Xenopus tropicalis: one gene and its partner. The protein of the gene in region 2 purifies or fractionates together with the protein of the main gene of each other region. This does not show direct contact. Links are inferred from orthologs where the notes say so. Each region holds a gene or a part of one and is shown on either strand. Other genes may lie near its edges.

What was found. Proteins that work in one complex are often made in the same cells at the same time.
Region 1: the proteins of rictor (region 2) and flna purify together in Homo sapiens (affinity purification with mass spectrometry; 3 studies listed by BioGRID and IntAct, with this or other methods). This does not show direct contact. The link is inferred for Xenopus tropicalis from reciprocal best matches to the Homo sapiens genes RICTOR and FLNA.

Annotation. Positions count from the first base shown.
Region 1 is NC_030684.2:31,808,099-31,814,465, forward strand, and holds part of flna (filamin-A), read left to right. Parts: intron 1-835; coding exon 836-1,083; intron 1,084-2,585; coding exon 2,586-2,675; intron 2,676-4,166; coding exon 4,167-4,269; intron 4,270-4,808; coding exon 4,809-4,949; intron 4,950-5,152; coding exon 5,153-5,281; intron 5,282-5,365; coding exon 5,366-5,539; intron 5,540-5,929; coding exon 5,930-6,091; intron 6,092-6,293; coding exon 6,294-6,367. UniProt on the Homo sapiens protein: Promotes orthogonal branching of actin filaments and links actin filaments to membrane glycoproteins. Anchors various transmembrane proteins to the actin cytoskeleton and serves as a scaffold for a wide range of cytoplasmic signaling proteins.
Region 2 is NC_030677.2:197,055,120-197,061,486, forward strand, and holds part of rictor (rapamycin-insensitive companion of mTOR), read left to right. Parts: intron 1-882; coding exon 883-929; intron 930-1,787; coding exon 1,788-1,923; intron 1,924-2,264; coding exon 2,265-2,464; intron 2,465-5,350; coding exon 5,351-5,477; intron 5,478-6,183; coding exon 6,184-6,348; intron 6,349-6,367. UniProt on the Homo sapiens protein: Component of the mechanistic target of rapamycin complex 2 (mTORC2), which transduces signals from growth factors to pathways involved in proliferation, cytoskeletal organization, lipogenesis and anabolic output.

The sequences.
Region 1 (6,367 bases), on a different chromosome or scaffold from region 2:
AATGCATATTCCCAGGCCAAATTTAGTTTCTGGGTGCTACAACATTGGGTGTAACTTTTTTTTTAGAGGCGCTAAAACCTGCTGAGCAATCCAGTATTTTCTGTGGTCATAAAGAGACCCAATCGTTTTATTACCTTTGATTATATGCATGCTATATATGCTTTTTGAATGGCTTCCTCCTTCCTGAAATCTCTCTGCATCTCCCTAATTTCACTTGGCTCCGCACTCTGCTTATGCTACTTTCTTGCAAAAATAAAAAAAATAAAAAGGAATGTAAAAGTTAAAATGTTCTCACTTGGGACCTCAGTCCTTCAGGAAATTTTTAGTTGCTCCACAGAATGCTGGGAAACTTCTGTTGCTAAAATACAAAACTCTGTTCATGGCAATGGCTGATGTAGTTGGCACTGCTTGGAAACCTCCGCAGTGTAAGATTACCAATCGCTTGGCGTCGGTGAAATGCAAGAGCCAATTTGCTTTTCGAGAGTCTGGTGCTCTTCCTGAGTCCCTGAAAAGAATGTAAATACATATACATTAAGAAGTGAGATCAAATATGGGCTGTCGTATTTATGGCTCAAAACCAATATACTACTTTGTCTATTCAAGGTTTTTAGCTATGATCTCTTCCAACAATCCTTAATGGTTGTTCCTCTGAAATAAGGCTAGTTCTGAAAACGGCTGCACATTGTCTATTTAAATTTCCTGAGTGCTGAGTGTTCTGAAGAACATAATGGGGATTTTCTTGGATGTTGTGGTGACTGGTTGCATGAAACTGATTACTATTTTTGGGAGCTTATTTCCCCTGCTAACTTATTTTTTGCATTCTTGGTACTGTCAGGTGCCGGCATTGGTCCAACTATACAGATTGGCGAAGAAACCGTAATAACAGTTGATGCCAAAGCAGCTGGGAAGGGTAAAGTGACCTGCACTGTGTGCACTCCAGATGGCACAGAAGTAGATGTTGATGTGGTAGAGAATGAAGATGGCACCTTTGACATATTCTATACAGCTCCACAACCTGGAAAATATGTTATTTGTGTGCGCTTCGGTGGGGAACACATTCCCAACAGTCCTTTCCAGGTCACGGTAAGTAAAAGGCATATCAAAGATGCTTTTAATTTTTTTTTTAATTTTTGAAATTTTTATTGGGTTTTATGTACAATCCAAACAGGCAATAGACATAGTCGAGCATCGGTTCAAGGATAATGAGAAAAAGCATAGTGAACATCACAGAAAGTGGTTTGACGATGCTATCTATTATACATAATACTTAAAGCATAAAATTGTATTAGGGAAGAGACTGTCCGTTGTTGTGTATTGCTTATGGCTGTTGGATTGAATTAAGGTAACCGGGGAAGGGAGGGGGGAAAGGGGGTATCAGACAGAAGGAGCGTCAGGTGTAGAATAGTCGTGGGTCCATCTCTTATACTAGCTTCCATTACACAGGCCTATGGAATCTATATGCTGCCATTTATTACTCCTGTTGTCTTTGAATCGGTCAGCAGAGCAAACACTCCATTAGTTGTTAATTTGGATGATTTGTTAGGTTTGATATTTTCGTTTCCAAGAAGGCTCGCCAGGGTCTCCAAGTAGCCCAATGAGTTAGATGCTTTTAATTTAGTCTGCTTGAATGGGAATAATATCTTCAAGTTTCCAGAATGTTGGCTTTAAACTTTTCCCCTCATAAAGTGTAAAGATACATGTTGTGTACATAATAGCATGTCCACAAGGACCTTGGCAAAATTTCCTATGCTAAAATTTGCATTTCCCAGTTTTGTCGACCATGAGAGGAGATGTTTGAAGTTTTGGGGTTTTTTGTAATCTGAATATCCTACATGCATGTGGTGCCTGAATTTTAAGAGCTAGGCTTGCTGCTAGAATATTCCAAACCCATTCAGCATCTTTCCTCTGGAGATGGATTGTTTCTAGAGATTGTAAGATACTATACCTTGAACTCAACCAGCACTAAACAAAATATGAGGAAACTGTATCGGACTGTTTGGCCAAACCTCCTGTCAGTATACTCTGGGACCAAACTGTTCTATATCTATAGATAAGCAGAGACATTGTATTCGGTTTAGTAATGCACTAAACTCTCCATCAGCCAGCCACATTTGTGGTTCAGTCACATCAGTGTTCTGTTTATGTATGGTCTGCACACACAGATTGATGGGAAAAGTCTAGACTGGAATAAAGGCATATACAATAAATCCTAAAGAAATGACACCTAACACAAAAGACTAGGAATCACCTCTTCCTTAGGTTTCTCATAACACACAAAGTCAAATAGAAATGTAAGATGGGAATTGGGAGGCAGGAACTGCATAGAAGACCAGTTGAACCTCTCTTGGTGGTGGCCATAGGCGTAGAGAACCATTAGTTGTGCATAAAGACTTGTATCTCTGTAGGTTTGGAATCTTCACATATATTCCTGGGGGAATCGTGATCTGCTTCTGCTGCTAGCATTTGGAAGTTGTATTTCAGCAACAGCTGGGAAACGTTTTACGATATAGTCAATCCGTTGACCTGTGTCTTGTTACTTGACTAGCTGGAAAGTAATCTAACCTTTGCTTACACCTCCAACACAGGCTCTGGACGGCGAGCAAATGATGCCTCAGCAGATGGTTCAACAGCAGTTAGCCCCACCATACGCTTACCCGGGCATGCAACAACCCTGGGTACCCTGCCTTTAACAGTAAATGTGTCATTTGGAGGTGAATAACCTTCCCAGGGCATTGAGGGTTTGGAGAAAGGAACTCTGGAATCCAGTACTTGCCACAACCACTGCATCTTCTCAAAGCTTTACTCTATCAGCTTGTTTGTTTGTTGCAGCTGGCCTCTAGGGGTCTGGTTTGAGCTCTTGGAGTATTTTCTGGGTACCCATTTATAAGGGGGCGGAGTAAAAAACATATGGCTTTATCTGCTGGGTTGTTTGAAGTGACTTGCTTTGAATGTTAGCGATGAACTTTGTTGCATGCTCCTTCACAAGTACAAACCGTCTTGTGCCAGCTTTTAAAAAAAAAAAAAAAGCCTCTCATTGGTCAGACCTTTATCTATATTTCTGGTCTTTCAGCCTAACCTACCCTCTGATTCTGTAGGGAATGCTTCACTTCAGTAGCTTTCTGCTGTGACAAAGCGCCACCATGGATTCTAAGGAGTTTTATTTTCCTTCCCTGCATGCAATGCCCTGGAGATGGACTTTCACCTCGGTCTCCACTGGCCTTCAAATTTGGGGAGGAGGGTTGATGTTGCTGGGCTCAGTCTTTGTCCGTTCCCATACCTTCCCATTCTTCTTTTTTTCCCCCTCCTCATACCCAACATCTAATGTCTCCCTGCCCATAAAATCCATCTCTTATCAGATTTCCTTACTGTCACCAGCCCTTGTGTGGGTGGCACAAATGAGGTGACCTTTTCCACCTCTGGTCAGTCTTCACCTGGTGTCTGATGACTTTGTCTAATGGTCTCTTGCAGAATTCATTTTCCAGGTTTGCCAGCTTTTTTGGATAAACATCCTGCAAAGACTAAATCCATTTTTTTTTTTGTGTGTAAAAACCAACTCTGTTTCAAGTTCAAATAAAACATATATACCATGTTTCTTAATATGAATTGTTTTGTATTCTATCAAACAATTCACAGAAAGCTTTATTAAATAAAGTTTTGCGCTAATATTGAATTAATTTAATCCACGCCACAGCCATTTTTACTTATCAGCTTATTACCAAGAAAGTGGACCCGAGGGGGAGGGAGTCACATGTACGTTTGGCATATCCAACCTATAGCTGCAGCTTTACAACACCCCCCAGATATATCATTGGCTATCAGAATGTTGAATTGCCAGAGCTTATTTCTGGAAATCCCCAAAGACCATACTGATAGAAGATGATATACTAGATTCTATAAACCATTTAGAGGTTTTTGGGGTTGGAATTGGAAGATTCCCTGAATCTGTCCCTACTGACTTTGCTGCTCCTCAATCATTATGATGTCCCATAGTAGGAAACTTGTGGTTTTTACATTACATAGTTATTGCTATTTTCTGTGCATTGTCTTTATTGAAGTACAGATAAGAACTTGCACTGGAGTTGGGAATCTTTTTGTCATCTGTTGACGGAAGTGTTTTGTGTTTCCTTGTCAGGAAGGACTCTTTACTCACTTAAGTTTCATTTCAGGCTACTGATCGTCCAGTTATGGGTGTAAATGGACTGGATGTGGCAGGACTTAGACCTTTTGATCTGGTTATTCCCTTCACCATTAAAAAAGGAGAGATTACAGGTAAGCATGGAGTAGAGGAAACAGACATTAAGCTGTTGTCTGACTGCAGTTTTGCATGACAAATGTACTAGTATTAAGTGTTGATACTAATTTTTTCTACCATGGTTTTGTGGCAAACTAGCATAACTTGACTATAACATTTCTAAGTATGACTAGTGATTGTCTAGCCAAGAATTTTGTGTTTTAATAACTGGTGGTAACTAGGGTGTTGTTGGTTAATAGGGCTTTGGGAGTAGAACAGAGTTTGCGTATCATAGTCTATCATTTATGATGATAATAAGGAAGCCTTGTATGATAGTGGAGGGTGGGTGGAAACCAGAATATCCAAGGCAATCCCTAAATGGAACACTAACAGAATTTTCAGTTTATCTGTCCCTGTAAAGCACTGCGGAATATGACCCTATATGAAGTACAATTCTGTCCTTATGGGTTTTCCATAAGCTATAAGTAGTTTGTATTAATAGGTCCATGAAAGGGAACTTTGTTGGGTGGTCGACCACCTTTTTTTCCGCTAACAAAGCCATTCATTTTGACTGCAGGAGAAGTGCGAATGCCATCAGGGAAGGTGGCCAAGCCTGACATCACTGATAACAAAGATGGAACAGTCACGGTGAGATATGCTCCCACTGAAGCTGGACTCCATGAGATGGATATAAAGTATGATGGCATGCATATTCCAGGTAATATTCTGCAGCTCCACCTTGGCACCAATCTGTTAGGAAAACCTTTAATCCTTAAAAGTAGCTTGACAATTTTACTGGCAAAGGGTTTTATAAGAGGCTTGATTGATATGCTGATATTTGTATTAAGTATTCTTGTACTTTGCATTTTGACTGGCGGCTGTATTTATTTTTCACTCTTAACCAGAACTCTTGCTTTATAGGAAGCCCCCTACAGTTTTATGTGGATTATGTAAACAGTGGCCATGTTACTGCCTATGGCCCAGGCTTGATTCATGGAACAGTGAATAAACCTGCTGTCTTCACTGTGAACACTAAGGATGCTGGAGAAGGTGAAAAGTTAATGCATTTCATTGTCCAACATGAATGCTAGCTCTGAACTGAATGCCATGACTAATCTTTTATTTGTTTCCTAGGTGGCTTGTCACTAGCTATTGAGGGCCCCTCCAAAGCAGAGATCAGCTGCACAGATAACCAGGATGGGACCTGCACAGTTTCTTATCTCCCTGTGCTCCCTGGAGACTACAACATCCTAGTCAAGTATAACAACAAGCATATTCCGGGAAGTCCATTTGTTGCTAAAATAACAGGTAAGTTGTATTGGTGATCACATAAAGCAGAAATCCCCAACCTTTTATAGTCAAAAAGTTTTGGGGAGCAACACAAAAATCAAAAATATTCCTTAAGGTGCCAGTGAGAGCTATTTATATATAACAGGCTATTTGATAGCCCCTATGTTGACTGGAAATCTACACAAAGCTCTGTTTGGCAATTACACTGAGATTTTATGCAAACAAAGATTGCCTTCTTACCAGAAATTTAAAAATAATCGCCTGCTTTGAGGCCACTGGGAGCAACACCCAAAGGGTTGGGAAGCAACATGTTTCTCACGAGCCACTTGTTGGGGATCACTGACCTAAAGCTTCCTGTAACTATAGCACAAGCTCTGAAACCTGATATTTGTGTGTTTTCTTAAACAGGAGATGATTCTATGCGTATGTCCCAGCTGAAGGTTGGGTCTGCAGCAGACATCCCCCTGAACATTGTAGAGACAGACCTGAGCCAGCTGACTGCTACAGTGACCTCTCCATCTGGAAGAGAGGAGCCATGTCTGCTCAAGAGGCTCAGAAACGGCCATGTTGGTAAGAATGATATATGCATGGTGAACTAAATATGCCGAAAATCTGGTCTAATTTAATTTATGTGCCGGTATCATAATCCTCTACACATGTCCTTTTAAGGTCTTTGCTCTAAATAATCATAAGGCATTTTCACTGTACATACAATTTAATGAATTCTTTCTGTAATCCTATACCTTCTTTAATCTGCTTGCTTCTTTTGTAGGCATCTCGTTTGTGCCAAAGGAGACAGGCGAACACATTGTTAGCATAAAAAAAAATGGTATCCACATCCCCAAC
Region 2 (6,367 bases):
CTGTGTGCACTCAGTAGCATGCGTTTATATTTATAGTAGTATTAGGGGACACTACAGGCTAGAGTCCTTCAGTAAGTTTGGTACCCACAGGTTACCTGCAAGAAAAGCAGATAACCTGCGAGGTGCAGGTTGGGTTGGGTGTTTTATCCATATTTCTTATGTTATCTATATTTTACTCCTTTAAACATTTTTTTGAATGTTTCTTTGTCTACCTCCACCCACTTCAAATGAGCACAATTCCTGTTTGATTTCGGTCAGCAGGTCATGGATCAGGTTGTGGAAAAGGCACTGTCAGGTCGGGTAGTGGGTCAAAGCAAGTAAAAATGCGGATCTGGTCGTGGCTTGCAGGCTATGTGTCCAGGCTTTAAAAATTGGTTCTGTGCAGGACTTTACTACAGACTGAGAGGGGCATTATTGTCTGCTGCTATTTACCAGTGGGATAATGCTCTGTGTGCTATAGCCTTTTTAGTTACTTTTTTATTGAGGCTCTATTTACATCCTTTCCTACCCATCTGCCACTCTGTCATTCAGACTACTGCCTTGTGGCTATACTAAATGAGACCCTAGCAACTGGAAAAGCTACACCATTAAGTTCAGTAATCATAATTTAAAGGGGAACTCCTCCTATATGCAAATAGGGAAAGTATGGGTGCTGTTTTGAACTGATCATTCCAGACAGTGACTATTCAGAGCAGATGCTAGACGCCCAGCAATTGTTCAGAATAGCATAGTAATACCTGTGTGTCCAGAGAGAAGTCCCGTTTTGTGACACTCATGCCCATTGATACAATCTGACATAGAGCTAAAATGACAGTCACAGATCTACTCATGTGAACTATAACTCTTTGACAATTACAAAACCTTCTCTTTCCCTCTCCACAGTGGCCAAATGTGAATTTAAGGAATTGCAAAGATGAGCAGCTGCACAGGTAAGCAGGACTTAAATTCAATGCAATGATGCACCTTGTCCCTAGAGACTTCCTGGGAACACTGTGCTTTCCAGATATTTTTATTTTGTGGTCAATGCAGAATATAACCTATAGTGATTTATAAAGCCAAAATATGTTTTATTCACCCACTTTTATTCCAGTTCTTGCCTTTGTCAGCTATTATTTTTCAAAGATTGCTCAGCTTAACAATACAGAGGTGACAAAAAAAAAATAAAAAATAGGAGACAGGAAAGAGGATATAAGGGGAGAAGAGATGTGAGCAATTAGCCAGGACTGGGTCTTGTGGGGTATTCACTTTTTAATGGGTTAGGTTAGGTTAATGGAATGGACATTGTTAATTCTGGACTGATGTGTTTCTAAATCAGTCTTGCAACCTCATGATGGGTTCAGGTTGTGCAATCCATTAGTCATTTATTTTTCATGTGGTGCAGGTATGTTCTTGCTGTGCCTTTATCCTTGGCTGCCACCCAGCAGATATCAGCGGTACCCTATATACTGCACACGCAGAGCAATGATAGTTGGTCTTTGGTGCCAAAATGCTAGCTCGAGAGTTTGGCACCAATATCAGCCTGTCGCCGCTGTATGAGAGTCTAGTTATCCACTTTTCATTCACTAGTATTTGAAGCAGGAAGAGGCAAAGAGGGCTGTTTTGTTGCTACTCTTGTTTATCAGATGGCAGCAGCTGACAAAACGCTCATTGTGCCCAGGGCTTAACCTCTGTCTAAAATACAAGCAATTTGTCTTTGGTAGCCTTCTGCTTGGCACCCAGCAAGTTATGTAGTAATTTAATGTCCTGCTCATACTGACTAAGATATTCACATTTTTTTTGCCTTTCAGGTTTGTTCGGCGACTACTGTATTTTTACAAGCCTAGCAGCAAGCTCTATGCCAATTTAGATCTGGACTATAGCAAGGCTAAACAGCTGACTGTCGTGGGCTGCCAGTTCACAGAGTTCCTTCTGGAATCCGAAGAAGTGAGTAGAGAGACTGGAGGCGGATCCGTTTAATTATACATCTTTCAATAGGTTCAGGAAACTCCCTCCCCCCTTCCATTTTATTGTATAATTGCTAAACTGGTGATCTTGTCTAAAATTAAATGCCTGGGCCCCTATCACCATGTTGGCAAATCCAGACTGTATATGTCATATGGGTTCTCTCTACCCTAGTGGTAATTAAGCAGTTACTGAAGAAAGACACTTGTTACGTTGAGTGTGTTTATAGCTCTACATAGAACCAACCCATCTCCCTTCTAATTAATGCAGGTATAAAATGCCCTGAGCCAAATTTATATCATTATCTGTTGTTGCTTTCTTAGGATGGGCAAAGTTACCTTGAAGACCTGGTGAAAGACATTGTGCTCTGGTTAAGCTTGTCATCAGGAATGAAATCAGATCGAAGCTTGCAGAACAATGGCCTCCTAAACACACTCAGCCAGCACTACTTTCTGTTTATTGGTACTCTATCCTGCCACCCACATGGCGTCAAAATGCTGGAGAAATGCAATGTATTTCAGTGGTAAGTACTGCCCCACATACATTGCAAGTGTGGGACCGTGTCACATAAACCATGTTTGTGTATTCTGGCAAATGCCTAACTAGAATGTAAAAACCCAGTATAAATGGGTTGGTTGAAAGCCGCACTGTATGTACTTTACTCCTAAAGGGGAAATGAGATGTATGTAATATACCAGTAGTTTGATAATAAAGCATGGAGACGCGGCTCACCAGTCCGCACCCAGTATATCACCTCCGCATATTTTGGTTAGAGGCCTCAGTGGAAATTTTCATAATCAGTTTTCACTTCTGCCATGATGTTATCCTTTGACATCAACACAACAATGCAGTCTGTTTTAGGCCGAGCTTGTTGGTCAAAACCGAGATTGGATCTCTTACAATATGTAGTCTCTCCCTCTTTAAAGAAGAAAGAAAGGTAAAAACTAAGTAAGCTTTATCAGAAAGCTCTATTTAAATACAGCCATAAGCGCTCACAGAATCGCTGCACTGACTTCTCTCAAAAAAGATTTCTTATGTCTGTGCCAGAGACACGCAGCTTTCTGCTCTCTCCTGCTCCCCCCTCCCTCAAGAATGCTAAGAACTCACTCCCCCCCCCCCCAGGAATGTGGATCTGAGCCAATCAGCAAGAAGCTGACTCATAGGGGGAGATTTACTAATCCACGAATCTGAATCCCGAATGGGAAAAAAACGGATTGGAAACTAACATTTTGCGACTTTTTCGTATTTTTTGTGATTTTTTTTCGTCGCCTCTTTCGTATTGAGCGCTCGTAAACGGCGGGCAAACCTTTCCGACTTTGCATGATTTTGGAAGCCTCCCATAGGACTCAATGGCACTCTGCAGCTCCAACTGGGCCCAAGGAAAGTCACGATTCTGACGCTTGAAAGAATCCGAAACTTTCGTACTCGGCGCGACAGTAGGATTATTTCGCGACGTCGATGAAAGAAATCACTAAAATACCGATCATAACGAAAAAACGCATTCGGATGCTTTTCGGACGTTCGTGAATTAATAAATGTCCCCCATAGTCTTAATAACTGAGCATGTTCACTTGGTATGGGTGTCTGTGCAGGAGCGAGGCATTATGGGAACTTTCTTTACACAGCTCAGCATTTTTTCTTCCTGTTTGGCTTCTGATCATCTGAACGGGAGAAAAATGGGGAGACTTAAGGGCACTATTGAGAGAACTGAAGGTATGCCTGCAGCTTGAGATTAACTCTTTACTAGCCTTTCCTTAAAGGTGGCCATATACAAGGTCGCCAAGAGAGCAGATCTTCTCCCGATATCCCCACCTACGGGTGGGTGATATCGGGCTTATTCGTCGTTTAGGCACCATTTGTTCGGGGACCACTTTAACGAGCCAATGCGGTCCCGGATCCGTTGGAAAAATCAAACCTGGCCTATTTCAGGCCAGATGTCGGTCAGGCAGGCCCGTCGTTTGTGCCCATAAACAGGCAGTTACGCTGCCAAATCGATCTAAAGGACTGATATCGGCAGCTTGGCCCGTGCATGGCCAATGCAACTCTGTATGTCTAAGATGGTTCTTATGGGTTTTTTATCATTTCTTGTTTCTCTCATGGGATAGGAATATCTAAAATAGCAATGTACAAAATTGATTCTTGTGGTGCAGGTGAGGATTTTATTAGCTAGAAATGTCCAGTGCTAATAATAAATGCCAGAGTACTGACGAGAAAGTGATATGTATCATTTATCTAAATACTACGTTTATAATTATCGTTTAGCAGCCTTTAAATTAAGATTCTAATGCAAACCAGTGGTTTCATTAAAAAAAAGTAATGGTTTATAAAGGGTTATCCAACATGTATGAATCTTCCACAGGAGGGACAGATGGTGAGGTACTCATCCCAGCATGCAGTGGGCTTGTCAAAAAATTATGTTTTGTCAGTTTACTGCTCTTAAACGGAACATATAATGTGTTTATGTAGCTAATGTTTATGTGGCTTGACTTTGATATATAATGTAAAATTGCTCAGAATGACCTTCTAAGCACTTTCGCAGTTAATAATTTGTTTCCAAAGCTATTAAGCAGTTTATATATTTCAGTATAAGTTTTGCACTATTAGCAATTTTACATTACATTTTTTAAGGTTTACTTATCCTTTATAGACCGTTTTTTGGGCCATGTCTGTGTTAGAAATGATTATGTACAATGTCTTCTTGTCTAGATGCATAATGTGATGGCACATACTTGTTATTTATTGCCCTTTTTAACTGATTAAAGCTAATAGTTGTGTTGCTGCCACACTTATTTGTTCAGTTTTACACAAAAAAAAGTGTTAGCCCGCTGGTCCCTAAATATCATTTTTAACACATTGGCCACAACCCCCCCCCCCCCGAGAGAGGGAAAGAAAGCTTAGCTTCTGATGTGTTATGTTACTATGTGTCATATCCCTGTGAAAGGAGATACAAACCCAAAAATAACCTTTTGCCTTTTAAAGCAAAAGTCATTCTACACATCTTTCAATGTACGCTCATAAAAGGTTTTCATTTGTTATTAAGCCATTTGCTCATATAAAACCATGTCTTATCTGCCCCTGTTTATTTGAAACCGATATAGCAAAGGTTAGCTTTGCAATCTTCTTCACAGCTGCCTTCTGCAACATTGTTTCAGAAGTCAGAACCAGCAGTGTTGAAAATAGATAGGCAAAGGGGATGAGTGGTGAAATGTTTTAAGATAAACTCTGAAAAGTCCAGTTGTTTTAGACTGAATTCTACTAGATATTGTATATCATTACCTAGATGAATGAGAATCTTCATAGACACTGGGAAATAGCTTAGAAGTAAAATTCCTTTCTATATATCTCCATCCATGCAAGGTCATTAATATGAGAAGGGAAGGTTCAGTCAGTGTTCTGTGCTCTCTTGCAGTCTTTTGAATCTTTGCTCCCTGAAAAACCAAGATCACTTGTTAAAGTTAGCCATCTCCTGCCTGGATTATAGCCGAGATGGGCTGGCCAGAGTCATTCTTTCCAAAACCCTGACTGCTTCTACTGATGTGAGTATGATCAATCCCTTTGTGGCCATCACAAGTCTCATTTTTGGAGGGGCTGTTTATGGGTATTTATATCTACCATATGCCTCATGCATATGTGCTGTGTAGCTGAGCACGAGTGTCCTTGTGGTGTCATGAAGGGAATGTGAGGATGAGCACCGGCACCGCTGTGATACCATGATAAGAAGGGAGAAATATACTGTATATTCTGCTGTGGGAACCCTCCTTCCAAATACAGGCAGCTTTGTATTTATGGGGATAGTGGTCCGTCTCGATTGAGACCTGCAGCAGTTTTCTGCACCGAGAAAAGGCAAAGAAAGGGCCCCTTGCTCGCTGGCTTGGAAGCCATAAATGCCTCCTTGTATATCACAGGTGTAAAGTGAAATGTGCTCCACTCTACTCACATTCCCCTTTGTTTTTCCATGCTTTTTTATTCTCACTCTTGTTCTTCCATATTAACCCTTTTTGTCACCCTTCCTGTGATCACCCACCTTCCCTCACTTTGATTCCTTTCCCCATCTTACATTTTCTGCTTCTTTTTTCCCCCCTTATCCCCATTTTCTTCTATTCTGCTCTCCGTTTCCTTAAAGGAGATGTAGACCCTAACTTTTCCTACCATGGATACAAGTTGGGGACATTTCCCGCACTCCAACCGCATCATTTTTACTGCATGAACATTAAACATTAAAATATCTGTCTTTCTGTACAGAGCTGCCGGCTGTATGCCACCAAGCACTTGCGAGTCCTTCTGAGAGCCAACGTTGAGTTTTTCAGTAACTGGGGCATTGAGCTACTGGTGACCCAGCTGCATGATAAAAGCAAAAATATATCTTCTGAAGCTGTGGACATCTTGGATGAGGCCTGTGAAGACAAGGTGATTTGCTTGCTTGCCT